2 linked regions of the Schizosaccharomyces pombe genome follow. The gene in region 2 interacts genetically with the main gene of each other region. Each region holds a gene or a part of one and is shown on either strand. Other genes may lie near its edges.

Region 1 (7,863 bases), 4.6 Mb from region 2:
AACCAGCTGATTTTAGGTTCTACAGATAGGTGTTAGCAACTTGAAATCTTTATTCCTTTACACTTACTACAGGTTTTGATATAAGTTCAAGACTTAGTAATTACCTCCTTCATTTTTCTTTTCTGGCTCTTCGCGTGAGAAAACCGATTGGAACCAACGTCTCAAAGTCATTTTATCCTGCTTTCATTGTTGCTTTTAAGTGGCAAATAGCTATTAATCCTTTCAATATCTGTACTGCAATCGATCGTTCATAATTCGATCACTTATTTTTTTTCTCTGGATTATCTTGTCTTTTACGATAATTTCCTATTCCGAAACATTAATATATATAGTTAGAATCTTTCGAAGGAACCAACTTTAATCCAAATAACGCTTTTATGACTACTTTGAAGGTTGACGAGGATTTGGAATGTGCGCTCATGGAGCAATTCATCGAGGCTCTTCACCAAAGGTGTACTGATATTCCACGCACTCAGTTGTGTGTGCTTGCGATTAGCTTTAATCGCTTCATTCTCCATAAGTCTCCCGACATTTTCACATATATTCAATACTACCAACAAAAGCTGAATTCATATGGGTTTCCACTTCCACCTGTAGTTTTGAAATCGTTACAAATGCCTTTAACGTCTCCGGAACCCGATGCTGATGAAAGGTTTAGAGACGGTGATACTGAGTTTGATACTGCCGGTGTTACTGCTTCTTCTTGCTTTCCTGTGGATGTTAAATCTCCATCTGTGAGAGCTTTCGGAAATGTAACATTCCAATCAGATTGAATTGCTGAAATGAAAGGTTTCTCTTACGTTCCAGTTCGCTTTCTTTTAAGTGATTGCCTTCGTAGGATTGCTTCTTTTTTTTTCGAGCGCAGATGATTTTACCCTTTTTTTCCCAACTTTACTCTTTTTTGTTAGAGTTGTTGAAAGCTCATCCTATTCCTCGCATGCATCCTAATTTTTATGTTCTTAATGCTTTAGCAGTCCATTCCAGTTTTTTTTTTCCTATTACATTAAATATTTACTCATTTATTTTTATATTTCACTATTTCACAAATTTTGGAAACGCGTTCATATATCCTATCTTAATCTATACGGCTTTTTAATTACAATTATATACATTTTCTACAAATGATTTAGTATTCAAGAATATTATATATTATTGAACTTTATCCTGTTGTTGTCACCAACACTTGTAGTATATTCGACAACTATATACAAATATTTTTAAAAACTTTGTTATTAGTAAGAAATTAAGATGTAAAAGACAAACTATTTATATTACCATTAATAAATTATCTAACTAATTCGTGTGCTGTATTTCCTGTAATTGTGAGATGGTGCCATTAGCCCTGAAATGCTGGACACCATTAGCTTTCTTGACAGTATCTACTCGTTCAGAAGGGGGTCCATATCCACCACCGCCAGGTGTCATAATAACAATATGGTCACCAGCTTGCATATGGCATGTGTTTTTACCGCCAACGTTGATTTGTCGAACTCGTTGCTCTCCTGAAGGTAAGATATCCTTTCGAATCCAAATGTTTTTACCGCATTCGGCATCTTTACCTCCTTTCATACCGTATGGATGATAGGCACGACGCTCTGAAAGTATGGAAAGGGTAACTGGAATTCTGAATTCAATATCGCGAATAACACCATCACCACCTTTGTACTTTCCTGCGCCGCCAGAATTTTCACGAATGATAAACTTTCTCAAAATGACAGGGTATCTTCTTTCAAGTACCTCCAAATCAGTAATTCGGGTGTTAGTCATATGAGTATGAACACCAGAAGTTCCGTCTAATCCATCAATTGCACCAGATCCACCGCAAATAGTCTCATAGTATCCAAATCCTGGTTTCACTTCACCGGTCTCTGGATCTTTACCGCCAATTCCAAATGTCAAATTGTTTGTGTCACCCTGACTAGCTGCACATGCTTGGAATGCCTTGAGAATAGTATCAGTGATTCTTTGCGACGTTAGCACATTTCCACCTACTACAGCAGCTGTTTCAGAGGGTTTCAAAAAGCAGTTATCAGGAATGATAACTTTAATTGGAAGCAGACATCCTTGATTAAGTGGGATATTTTCAGATATCAAAACACGTAAACAATAAATGATGGCGCTATAAGTTACTGCCTCCGGGGCGTTAATATTTCCATAGATTTCTTCAGTTGTACCAGTAAAATCAAATATGGCATCGCCGTTTTCTTCATCAATAGTGATGCGTAAGCATATCTTTGACCCATCGTCCATATGATCCTCAGCGTATAAATCCTCACCTAAAAATCTTTCACGTACTCCAAGCAATAATTGTCTAACGGCGCTTTCCGCATTTTCTTGAATTGCCTTCATATAACGTAAAACAGAATTTTTTCCGTACTCCTTGATTAAAGATGTAATTAAATTGATTCCCTTTTGGTTTGCGGAAACTTGAGCCTTCAAATCATTTAGGTTATCGCGAAGACAGCGACTGCCTGAACCACCCTCCACTTTTGCCGGTTCATTGTAGAGTAAATCAATCATGCGTTCTTCCTGAAAAACTCCATCAACCACAAGTTTTTCGCTCTTAATAGTTGCTCCTTCTTCAGAAAGCTCTTTACTAGAAGAAGGCATGCTACCAGGTAGAATACCACCGATGTCAGCGTGATGGGCACGCGCAGCAACGTAAAACATGATCTCGTCCCCTTCGAAATGAGGAGTAATAGTAGTGATATCAGGCAAATGAGTACCACCATATGATGGATGATTGGTAACAAGAACATCACCAGGTTTTAGTTTCCCTTCGTGAATTTTTGCTTGTGTGCGGACACAAGTAGACATAGAACCTAGATGAACCGGCATATGAGGTGCGTTAGCTACAAGATTTCCTTTCGCATCGAATAGTGCACACGAATAATCAAGACGCTCTTTAACATTAGTGGAGACACTCGTTTTCTGAAGAGCCCTTCCCATTTGTTCAGCTACAGCCATAAACCGAGATCCAAATACAGAAAGGTAAATAGGATCAATTGTACTTGCTTTAGCGAGAGAATCGTTTGCCGTATATTCATTTCCATGAGAAATGTCAATTACAACGTGTGTATGCAAAATTCTAGCAACAGCTTTGGGAGGAACAACAATGGTTTGCGTTTTGTCGACTATCAAAGAAGGGCCATTCACTATTGTTCCAACAGGCAAGTTATCTAGGCTATAAACTTCAGAAGGGACACGTCCACCTTCGAAATAAATGTCCTTGACACATGTTGCTAGGCTCTTTTGAACAGGTTCGAACTTCAATTCTTTTAATTGAGCATCTACACTGGGCTCTTTGCTCTGGAAACTTTTTCCGGAAGCACGAATTCTGATATCATCAATAATTATATCTTTATTTTCAAAAATAAAACCGAACTCCTGCTTATGTTTATCAAAAAATGATTGCTTGAAATCCCAAGACTCAAGAGGCTTGCTAATCATCAAAGTGCTGTCAGTTCCTTGATACCGACAATTCAAAAATAACTCATAGCTAATTTGGCTTTCGGTAAATCCCTGCTCCTCAAGGTTAGCTTTCGCTTCTTCTTTAAGGCTATCAAAACGCTTCTTAATAGATTCAGTATTTGAGTCATCCAGAGTAAAGGAGGAAGGCTCTTGAACTTCAGACACGACATCAGCTAGTGCCATTCCATAAGCTGAAAGAATTGAACTATACTTGTGAACTAAAACCTGGGTAATACCGAGAGATTTGGCAATAGCTGCACAGTGTTGTCCACCAGCACCACCAAAAGAAGTCAAACGATGAATGGAGATATCGTGTCCTTTAGCTTCAGTAAGGGCGCGAATTGGGCGAGCCATAGTTTCGTTCGCTATCTTAATGAAGCCAAAAGCAACTTCATCGGCAGTCATTTGACGTTCTTTCTCAAGGCCAGAATTGATCTCAGCAGTCAATTTTTCAAACTCCTTTCTCGTCGACTCGACGTCTAGTGATTCATCCTCATTAGGACCAAAAATTTTAGGGAAAGACTCAGGTAAAAGTCTTCCTAACAGTAAATTTGCATCTGTAACAGTCAAGTACCCTCCCTTGCGATAGCATACTGGGCCAGGATGTGCACCAGCACTTTCTGGTCCAACAACAAAAAGGCCATTTTTCCAAAAAAGACGTGATCCACCGCCAGCGGCTACCGTATTTATATCTAATTGAGGAGATTGAATAGTAACTCCTGCCGTTGTCGTTTCAAAGACATGTTCATATGAACCACCATACCGAGAAACATCCGTAGATGTACCTCCCATATCGAATCCGATGACAGGAATTTTAACGTCCTCGTCATATGAGGTAAGTGCAAAACCTACGACACCGCCAGCAGGACCGGAGAGAATGGCATGTAAGCCTGAAAACTTATTAACGTCAACCAAACCACCGTCACTCTGCATGAACTCACAACGCACACCCTTTGAATTATCCTTTGTCTTTAAACCATGAAGGAATCCTGATTGAAACCCGGCAAGGTATCTTCTAACAACTGGAGAAAGGTAAGCATCAGCGGTAGCTGAAGTAGCACGAGGAACATATTTAATCATCGGCATTAATTTAGTTGAAAGACTGATATTGCTGAAACCAACCTCTTCAGCAATTTTACCAACAAGAAGTTCATGATCTGGAAATGTAAAGCTGTGGGCAAGGCAAACGGCGATACTGGTAAATCCTTCATCGTACAATGCTTGCAAATCTTTGCGAAGTGCATCGCAATCTACCTTTTTCATAATACGAACGACTTCACCAGAACGGCCAACTACTAGTGACGGGTCAGAGCCGTCAATTGTGGTTTTGACTTTCATTGGGTCTTCAACATAATCTTCTAGTGTTACACGCTCGTCAACTTCGATAACTTTAGAGTACAATACTTCAGGTCTTCGAATTCCCAACTCGAAAATATTAGGTCTAGATTGGTTGCCAATTAACAGACCATCTTTAAATCCTTTAGTCGTTATAAAAGCGCATCGTTCACCTTTTCGTTCCAATAAAGCATTGGTAGCAACTGTAGTACCACACCGTAAATGATTAATGCAACTGGTATCTAATTTTTCGGTTCGTGGGATCGATTTTCCTTGAACAATCTCTAAAATGCGTCGGACAGCTTCGATAGAAGCGTCCTTATAGTTACTAGGATCCTCTGAAAGTAATTTGATGACAATAGGAGGGCGAGATTCATCAGCAAAAGTGGCGATTGCGTCTGTAAAAGTACCACCTCGATCAATGTGAATTTTGACACTCATTTTTTAAATCCAAAATGTGTATTAAATCTATGTGTATGTATATGTAGGTAGAAAAAGAAAGCAAAAAATAAAAAACAGCACAAGTTAATGAATTAGGCAAGAATGATATCCATATATATACATAAATTATTAAATCATCACAATATTGTGTAGCAAAGATTGCCTCCTTATCAGACTGAAAGTTGGCGGAGCTCCGTATTCATTTGTGGAGTTCGGCGGAGTGGAGGAGCAGTATCGAAGCCTGCTGATATGGTCATGCAATTATTAGAGTATCTGAATTATCGATGAATCATTAAATTGATATTCAACATGCGTCTAATTAGAAAGTTTTGAGCTGGTCAATATGGAAGTATACTACAGAAATCCTACATATTTTATGTATTGGGTATCATTGTTAACAGTTTGCAAAATAAAGATCTTGACAATTAATTATTATAATAAAGCTTTAAAAATTTGCTAATTTGCAACTTTCCTGTCCGTTCCTAAATTGATTATCGATAAAGAATTGTATTTATCGCAATCATAAGTATCTCAACACTTGTAGTCCTAAGTATTTCATGATGTTTAAGATCTGCTGTTTGGCTATTCAAGGACTCCCTATCTACTTGCTTGGTACTATTGATATCGTAGATAGAACCAAATATGCGAAATCAGTAAAATTAATGTCAAAATACACTCTTTACTAGTAAAAATTAATAATTTATTGGTAATGATGTTAATTTAATTTAATTTGCTTGAATTATTATTCATTTTGATCTTTTTTGCGAAATTTATTTCGTAAAATGGTTTGTAAGATTGTTATCTGTTCTTTAGTAGGTACTTTGTGCACATGTTTCTTTAGATTAATTGAACTGTACTTATTATTTCTTGCTTTGATTAGAGTTAACTACAAACTCTCACATGAGGGATGCACTCGTAAATCTTTTTCTTGGGGCAGTTTATTCCACAATGCAAAAATGTACATACACGAATTATTAGTTTGATCGCTTCGGTTAAAAATCTAAATGGAGAGCACTAAATCTTTAAATGATAAGAATCATTCCTTACGACTATGGAATCCCCCATCTTGGTATAATTTTTTGGACGTTCAATGTCTCGGTCAAGGAGGAGCTCGTTTTACTTATCTTGACTGATTGGAACGTTGACTAGAGGTATAAAAGTTCGCAATTAGCATGCTGTAGTTATTCATTCATTCTTTAAGTTAAGAATAACCTTTTAATTTTTTTATAATGAAACAAGATGTGCGAATTGCGATTGATAGGGGTGGAACCTTCACCGATGTTTACTATAAGATATCTGGATGGAGGGAGCAAGAAGGGATTTTCAAGTTGCTTTCTGTAAACCCTAAATTATACGACGATGCTCCAACTGAAGGAATTAGAAGAGTGTTGTGTTATGCGTCCGGCGAAGAAATACCTCGTAAAGTCCCTTTAGACTTGACAAGAGTATCCTCTATACGTATGGGTACAACTGTTGCGACGAATGCTTTGTTAGAACGTAAGGGTGAAAAAACCGCCTTCATAATCACGGAAGGTTTTCGAAATTTGGTAGAAATCGGAAATCAAGCTCGCCCGGACTTATTCGACCTCACAGTATCAAGGCCTTCACCATTATATCAACGTGTCATAGAAGCAAAAGAGAGAGTTGTCTTAGAAAACCAATTCTCAAAGACAGCTGGTATTGTTCAAGGAATTACAGGAGAATTTTTGCGAGTGGAAAAGAAATTGGATGAAGAAGCGTTATATCAAGATCTAAAGGAATTATACAATGAAGGGTTTCGCTCCATTTCTGTCAGTCTTATGCATTCTTATACATATCCTCTTCATGAAGAGGTAGTTGAAAAAATTGCCAAACGTATAGGATTTACAGATATTTCTCTCTCATCAAAACTTACACCAATGGTTAAAATAGTTCCAAGGGCCGTTTCCGCCATTATCGACGCGTATCTTAGTTCTACGTTGAGGTATTATCTTGATTCGTTTAAGAAGAATTTTTACAATGTGAAGCCTAATACTATTCAATTCATGAAAAGCGATGGTGGTCTAGTTGACATAGATAATTTTACTGCTATTAGTGCTATAATGAGCGGTCCTGCTGCAGGTACGGTTGGATTTGCGAAAACATCATCTTTGCATGCTGATGACAAAACGCCAGCCATAGGTTTTGATATGGGGGGCACGTCAACTGATGTTTCTAGATACGATGGTAAATTTGAGCATATATACGAAGCCAATATATTCGGACTATACATTCAGTCCCCTCAATTGGATATTCAGACGGTTGCTGCAGGTGGTGGTTCTCGATTATTTTGGAGAAATCAACTGTTTTCGGTTGGTCCAGAAAGTGCTGGTGCTTTTCCAGGACCGGCTTGTTATCTCAATGGTGGACCTTTAACTGTTACAGATGCAAACGTTTTGTTGGGAAGAATTATTCCTGATTTCTTCCCGAAAATTTTTGGTCCAAAAGAAAACGAGAGTATGAACAAAGACATAGTCATTGAAAAATTTTCTGAATTAAGGGACATCATCAACATTGACATTGAGAAGGAGAAGACAATTGAAGAAATTGCCATGGGATTTATCCAGGTAGCTAATGAAACCATGTGTCGACCAATCC
Region 2 (4,780 bases):
GTCTTGCTTTATTAGAGCTTGAACTAAACGATAGATATTAAAAACAGACCGTTCATTTTTCCAAAGTTGTAGTAGAAGACTTGTGTACTTATGCTTTCCTCCTTTTTCATCCAATAATTGTACTATTGGCGGCTGTGATGGATAATAAGAGCGAACCGTTATACAAGCCGAGGTTAAAATTGTTTTGTCAAATGCTGGAGTACTCAAATAAATGCGGACCTCTTCTATTTTGTTTTCGTCTTGCGTATCTACTTCAATATTAATTGCTTGAAGTGTAAACGTGTCTTCACATTGTTTTCTAAACAATAATTCTAGTTCTTCAGCAAGTCCATTCTTCCAAAATCTAATCTATTTTTCAGGTTAAATTGGTAAAAAAACAAGCGGTACCTTTTCAATTGTATTCAAAATTCGTGAAGGGTGTTCATTGATTGCATGATCTGACATGGTAAAAAGAAACGAGGCGCACTTATGCAAGCACGTGATTAAATCTTATAGGATTTAAAGAAATCAAATAAAGTTAGCTGGTTTTCGAAAACCTATTAATTGCAAGCACCACTTGTGAAATTGATTTTGAACAGATGGTCGTTTTCTTTACGCATTTTATCGTTGTAATAAATAACGTCAATGCTGCATCTCTTTTTTAAATAAACTGTATAATATTACAATATATCGTTATATCAAGCGATAAAACAGGTAACGATACTCAAGATTATTTTCAATTGATGCCATATTAACATTAACGCCAAGTTTATTTTAAGTGCTACATACTCAATTTCTGAAATTGACGATCTGATAGTATATAATATTAGGATATGAATTTATAGACTGATAGGAGCAGTTATGAAAAATTCACAAAGTACCAATACGCTCAGATTTCTTATTCAATATTTTGGAAATGTGTCGTATCCATAAATATAAACTAAGGTAGCAACTATAATTGAGGATCATTGTTCTCACATACGTATTCCACTTCTCTTTTAACACCAGCAATACTACAATTGCAAGACTATTGAAAGGTTAATTACGGCAATAAACCGAGCAGTTTGCATTTTTATTGAAAGAATTATCTGATATTTGTTTATCAATAATGACAATTTGGAACGTAGCTGCATTGACAGGTAGGTTCTAGCACAAGTAATAGACTGGTATATAACCTTTATATACATTTACTTTTTGTTAAACAACCTATTTTACGTTATCTAACAATAAAAAAGGACTGCTCAGCGTAGGTTTAGGTGCATATGGATCTCACGGGTTGCAAAAACGTGTTCAGGATCCACATTTATTGAAGGTAGGATTTATGCATTTTTATTTCATGATTGTAACTATTTTAACATAAAATTATAGTCATGGTCCACTGCTTGTACTTACTTGATGTTCCATTCATTGGCAACCATGGCCGTTTCTTTGCATCCAGTTTACGGGAAATCTCGTTGGACGGGACCCCTGCTGATTACAGGAAGCTGCTTGTTTTCTGGGACAATTTATGGACTTTGTTTATTGCCTAAAGGACATAGTCTGCGACGAATTCTTGGGCCCTTGACACCAATTGGAGGACTAGTGATGCTTACAGGGTGGGCTACAATGCTAGTTTAAGAGAGCTTTAATTTAGATGCTTTTTGTTTTACCAGTACAGACGCAAGTATTAATGATGTCGTTTCTAAAATACTAGCAGATAAAGAATATGTTATGATTTTATTGGGTCCCAAGTAAGCGAACAAAAAAGAGAGAAAGGATATAAGGGGAATACAAGTATTTAAGATGAGTTAACGTGTTTACTTCAAAGTAATCAAATCCTTTTCCAACAAGTAATTGACGATTTTTTCAACACACTCTTCAATCGATTGAGTATGAGAAGAAACCACGATTTCAGGAGAAATGGGAGCCTCATAGGGAGCAGAAATTCCTGTAAATTCTAAAACCGGTTAGCCTTAATTTTATAGGGTCATCTATTTAAAAACATTGAGAAAATGGAATTTCCTGAGGGGAAAAAGTATCTTTAATGTGTAACAATTACCTACCTTTAATCTCACCAGCACGAGCACGCTTGTACAAACCCTTTGGATCACGCTGCTCGGCAACTTCCACTGGACATTCAACATAAACCTCAATAAAAGGAAGTCCATCTTTTTTATGAAATTCGCGTGCTTGATCACGATCCTTGCGATAAGGAGAAATGAAGGAAGTTACTGCAACTACACAGGCATCTGCGAAAAGCTTGGCAACATGACCTATGCGACGAATGTTTTCGTTACGATCTTGTTCACTAAATCCAAGATCACTGTTTAAGCCGAAACGAACATTATCACCATCCAAACGGTAAGTTGTAACTCCACGCTGAAGTAAATACTGTTCCAAAGCACAAGCGATTGTAGACTTTCCAGACGCAGATAATCCAGTCATCCAAATGGTCATACCAGGATGACCCACAAATTTGATACGTTCTTCTTTAGTGACGGAACCAGGGTGAAATGTAATGTTAGTAGCCATCGTAAACAAAAATGTGAAAATCCAATCTTCTAATTAATTGTTGGAAAAATCAAATGGTACGAATTTGAAAAATATTTTACAACTGTTACTGCACAAAATCTAACGAATTCAATTTGATGATTAACGCTATTAGTTACAATTACTAGGTCACAATTTGAAAGCATTCGGAACAGTCACAATCTTTTATTTTTTAGCAATTGCGCAATTACGCCTATCCGTTAGCGTCTCGTTAGGAGTCGTAAAGTCACCTCGGTAGGAATTAAGAATAACGTAACGAAAATTTCCCTTTAGCTTAAACCATGAGCGCTTAGTTCATTTAGTTGATTTGGCCTTTTTAAGTGCTGTTTCGGTTGTCTAAATAAATACAAATGATTATATAATCTTAGGACTAGTCAGGGAGTTTAAAATAGTATCTTTAAGTAGGGAAGACAGCAACATCTATTTACAGTAAATTTTTCCAATACTCCGTTCGTGGAATAGTAGGCATTATGTCAATTTAAGGAATATTACCAAAGCTGGTATCTTAAAATTACGTATTATACAGATGGCTTAACAGACTATTATCCGCTACATAGCGTTACTGAAAAAAGTTTTATTGGGATCATCTTTTGGGCTTCCAAACTTATCCTTCTCCATTTCTTTATCATGGCAAAAGATAAAAAAGACCATAAGCATAGTGGAAGCACCGAAGATGAGTATGATTCATATCTTCCTGCTTTAATGCCAATTGCTAAGCCTTTAGCTCCTAAAAAATTGAACAAAAAAATGATGAAGACTGTCAAGAAGGCTTCGAAGCAGAAACACATCCTTCGTGGGGTCAAAGAGGTTGTAAAGGCTGTTAGAAAAGGAGAGAAGGGTCTTGTAATTCTTGCTGGTGATATTTCTCCCATGGATGTTATATCTCATATTCCAGTATTATGTGAAGACAATAATGTCCCTTACTTATATACTGTTTCCAAAGAGTTGCTTGGTGAAGCATCAAACACCAAGAGACCTACTAGCTGTGTTATGATTGTTCCCGGTGGAAAAAAGAAGGACATGTCTAAAGTTGAGGAGTACAAGGAAAGCTACGAGGAAATTATAAAAGAAGTACCTGCTCTTGAAGTTTAATTGTTCAATATCTAAAAGATGCTTAGCCATTTAATGTAGATTATTATATACTATTAAAATTTGGTATTTATCCTGGGATTTAACTTTTGGTATATCATGTCTGTTTGCTTGATAGTAAGCGAAAAGAAGTTTTGCTTAATGGTCGGTTTTAAGGTTTCAAAAAATTTCCTTTTTAATCTAGTGTTTTATCATTCTTTCTTATGCCCTAGTATTTTATGGGTTTAGACTGGTTTGCGAGCAAACTAATCACTATACCTCCAAAACTTTGTTAGCAATAATATCGTATCATTTACCAACTTATATGAGAATGGTATATCGCTGTAACAGCGATGAAATATCAACTGATTTTTCCTCAAATTTCGTTTACGCTGATCGTTTCATTACGGATTTAGCCTGTGTTTATTTCTAACTAGTTGCGCAAAAAAGTTTTATTATTCGTTTAGGTTGCTATTTAGTATTCAGAGGCGGCGTGTTAGAACCAGTTTACAACTAACTTAAATTTCACCCAACGTCGTTCTTACCATTATAATGTTTACAAATATTATGCTTTCCAGTGCTATCCATAAATGATAGATTAGGGTAGCTTTAAAGGTCCGGCAATTATATGGTTATCTATCCGGATTTTGTTATCGGATTTAAATATATTTGCTAAAACAAATCGAATTTCAGATAAAAAAGTTGGGTTGTATTTGTATGAGCAAAAAGTATTCTGTATGTTTATCATAAATTGATGTGCATTTTTACTTACTTTGTAAGATAATGATTATTGTTGTTTATTTACTATAGTGTTGCTAAAAGTTAATGTCTTTTTTTTTTTAATAAAGAGAAAAGATTAAATGTCAACATAACGTTGTGTATAGTTTAGAATCCACTTTTGTCTTCATTTGTTTCGCACCCCACATATTTTCTTGTGCATTATCATCCCTTCTATTTACAAGGACCACCAACACCCAGGTACACAATTTAGAACTCAACCATTACGGGTTTGACGAATATAGACGAGATTCGCAATTACTTGTCTGATGGATTACCAAGATGATGGGCTTGGTGAAATGATTGAGTTTTTGGAGGGTATGCATGAAGTTTAACTCAAATATCTCGTAAAATTGATTAACATGTTAAATAGACAAGTTATACTACACATCATTGTCGCAACCACCTAAAGCCGAGTTATATCCTC

The links.
Region 1: mutations in nhp2 (region 2) and SPOM_SPAC11D3.15 together harm fitness more than expected from each alone (negative genetic interaction), as found in Schizosaccharomyces pombe (one large-scale study listed by BioGRID).

The regions. Positions count from the first base shown.
Region 1 is NC_003424.3:133,715-141,577, reverse strand, and holds SPOM_SPAC11D3.15 (ATP-hydrolizing 5-oxoprolinase), read right to left. Parts: upstream 5,334-7,863; 5' UTR 5,248-5,333; coding exon 1,294-5,247; 3' UTR 1,213-1,293; downstream 1-1,212. Other genes in the region: SPOM_SPAC11D3.16C (uncharacterized protein), read left to right, coding at 378-773; SPOM_SPAC11D3.14C (oxoprolinase), read left to right, coding at 6,477-7,863.
Region 2 is NC_003424.3:4,771,502-4,776,281, reverse strand, and holds nhp2 (box H/ACA snoRNP complex subunit Nhp2), read left to right. Parts: upstream 1-3,114; 5' UTR 3,115-3,135; coding exon 3,136-3,600; 3' UTR 3,601-4,280; downstream 4,281-4,780. Other genes in the region: sst6 (ESCRT I complex subunit Vps23), read right to left, coding at 1-348, 388-444; SPOM_SPAC1782.12C (uncharacterized protein), read left to right, coding at 1,088-1,118, 1,215-1,291, 1,348-1,596; met14 (adenylyl-sulfate kinase), read right to left, coding at 1,776-1,915, 2,022-2,490; Cdc14 family protein phosphatase Clp1, read left to right, coding at 4,623-4,671, 4,727-4,780. UniProt on the Schizosaccharomyces pombe protein: Non-catalytic component of the H/ACA small nucleolar ribonucleoprotein (H/ACA snoRNP), which catalyzes pseudouridylation of rRNA and is required for ribosome biogenesis.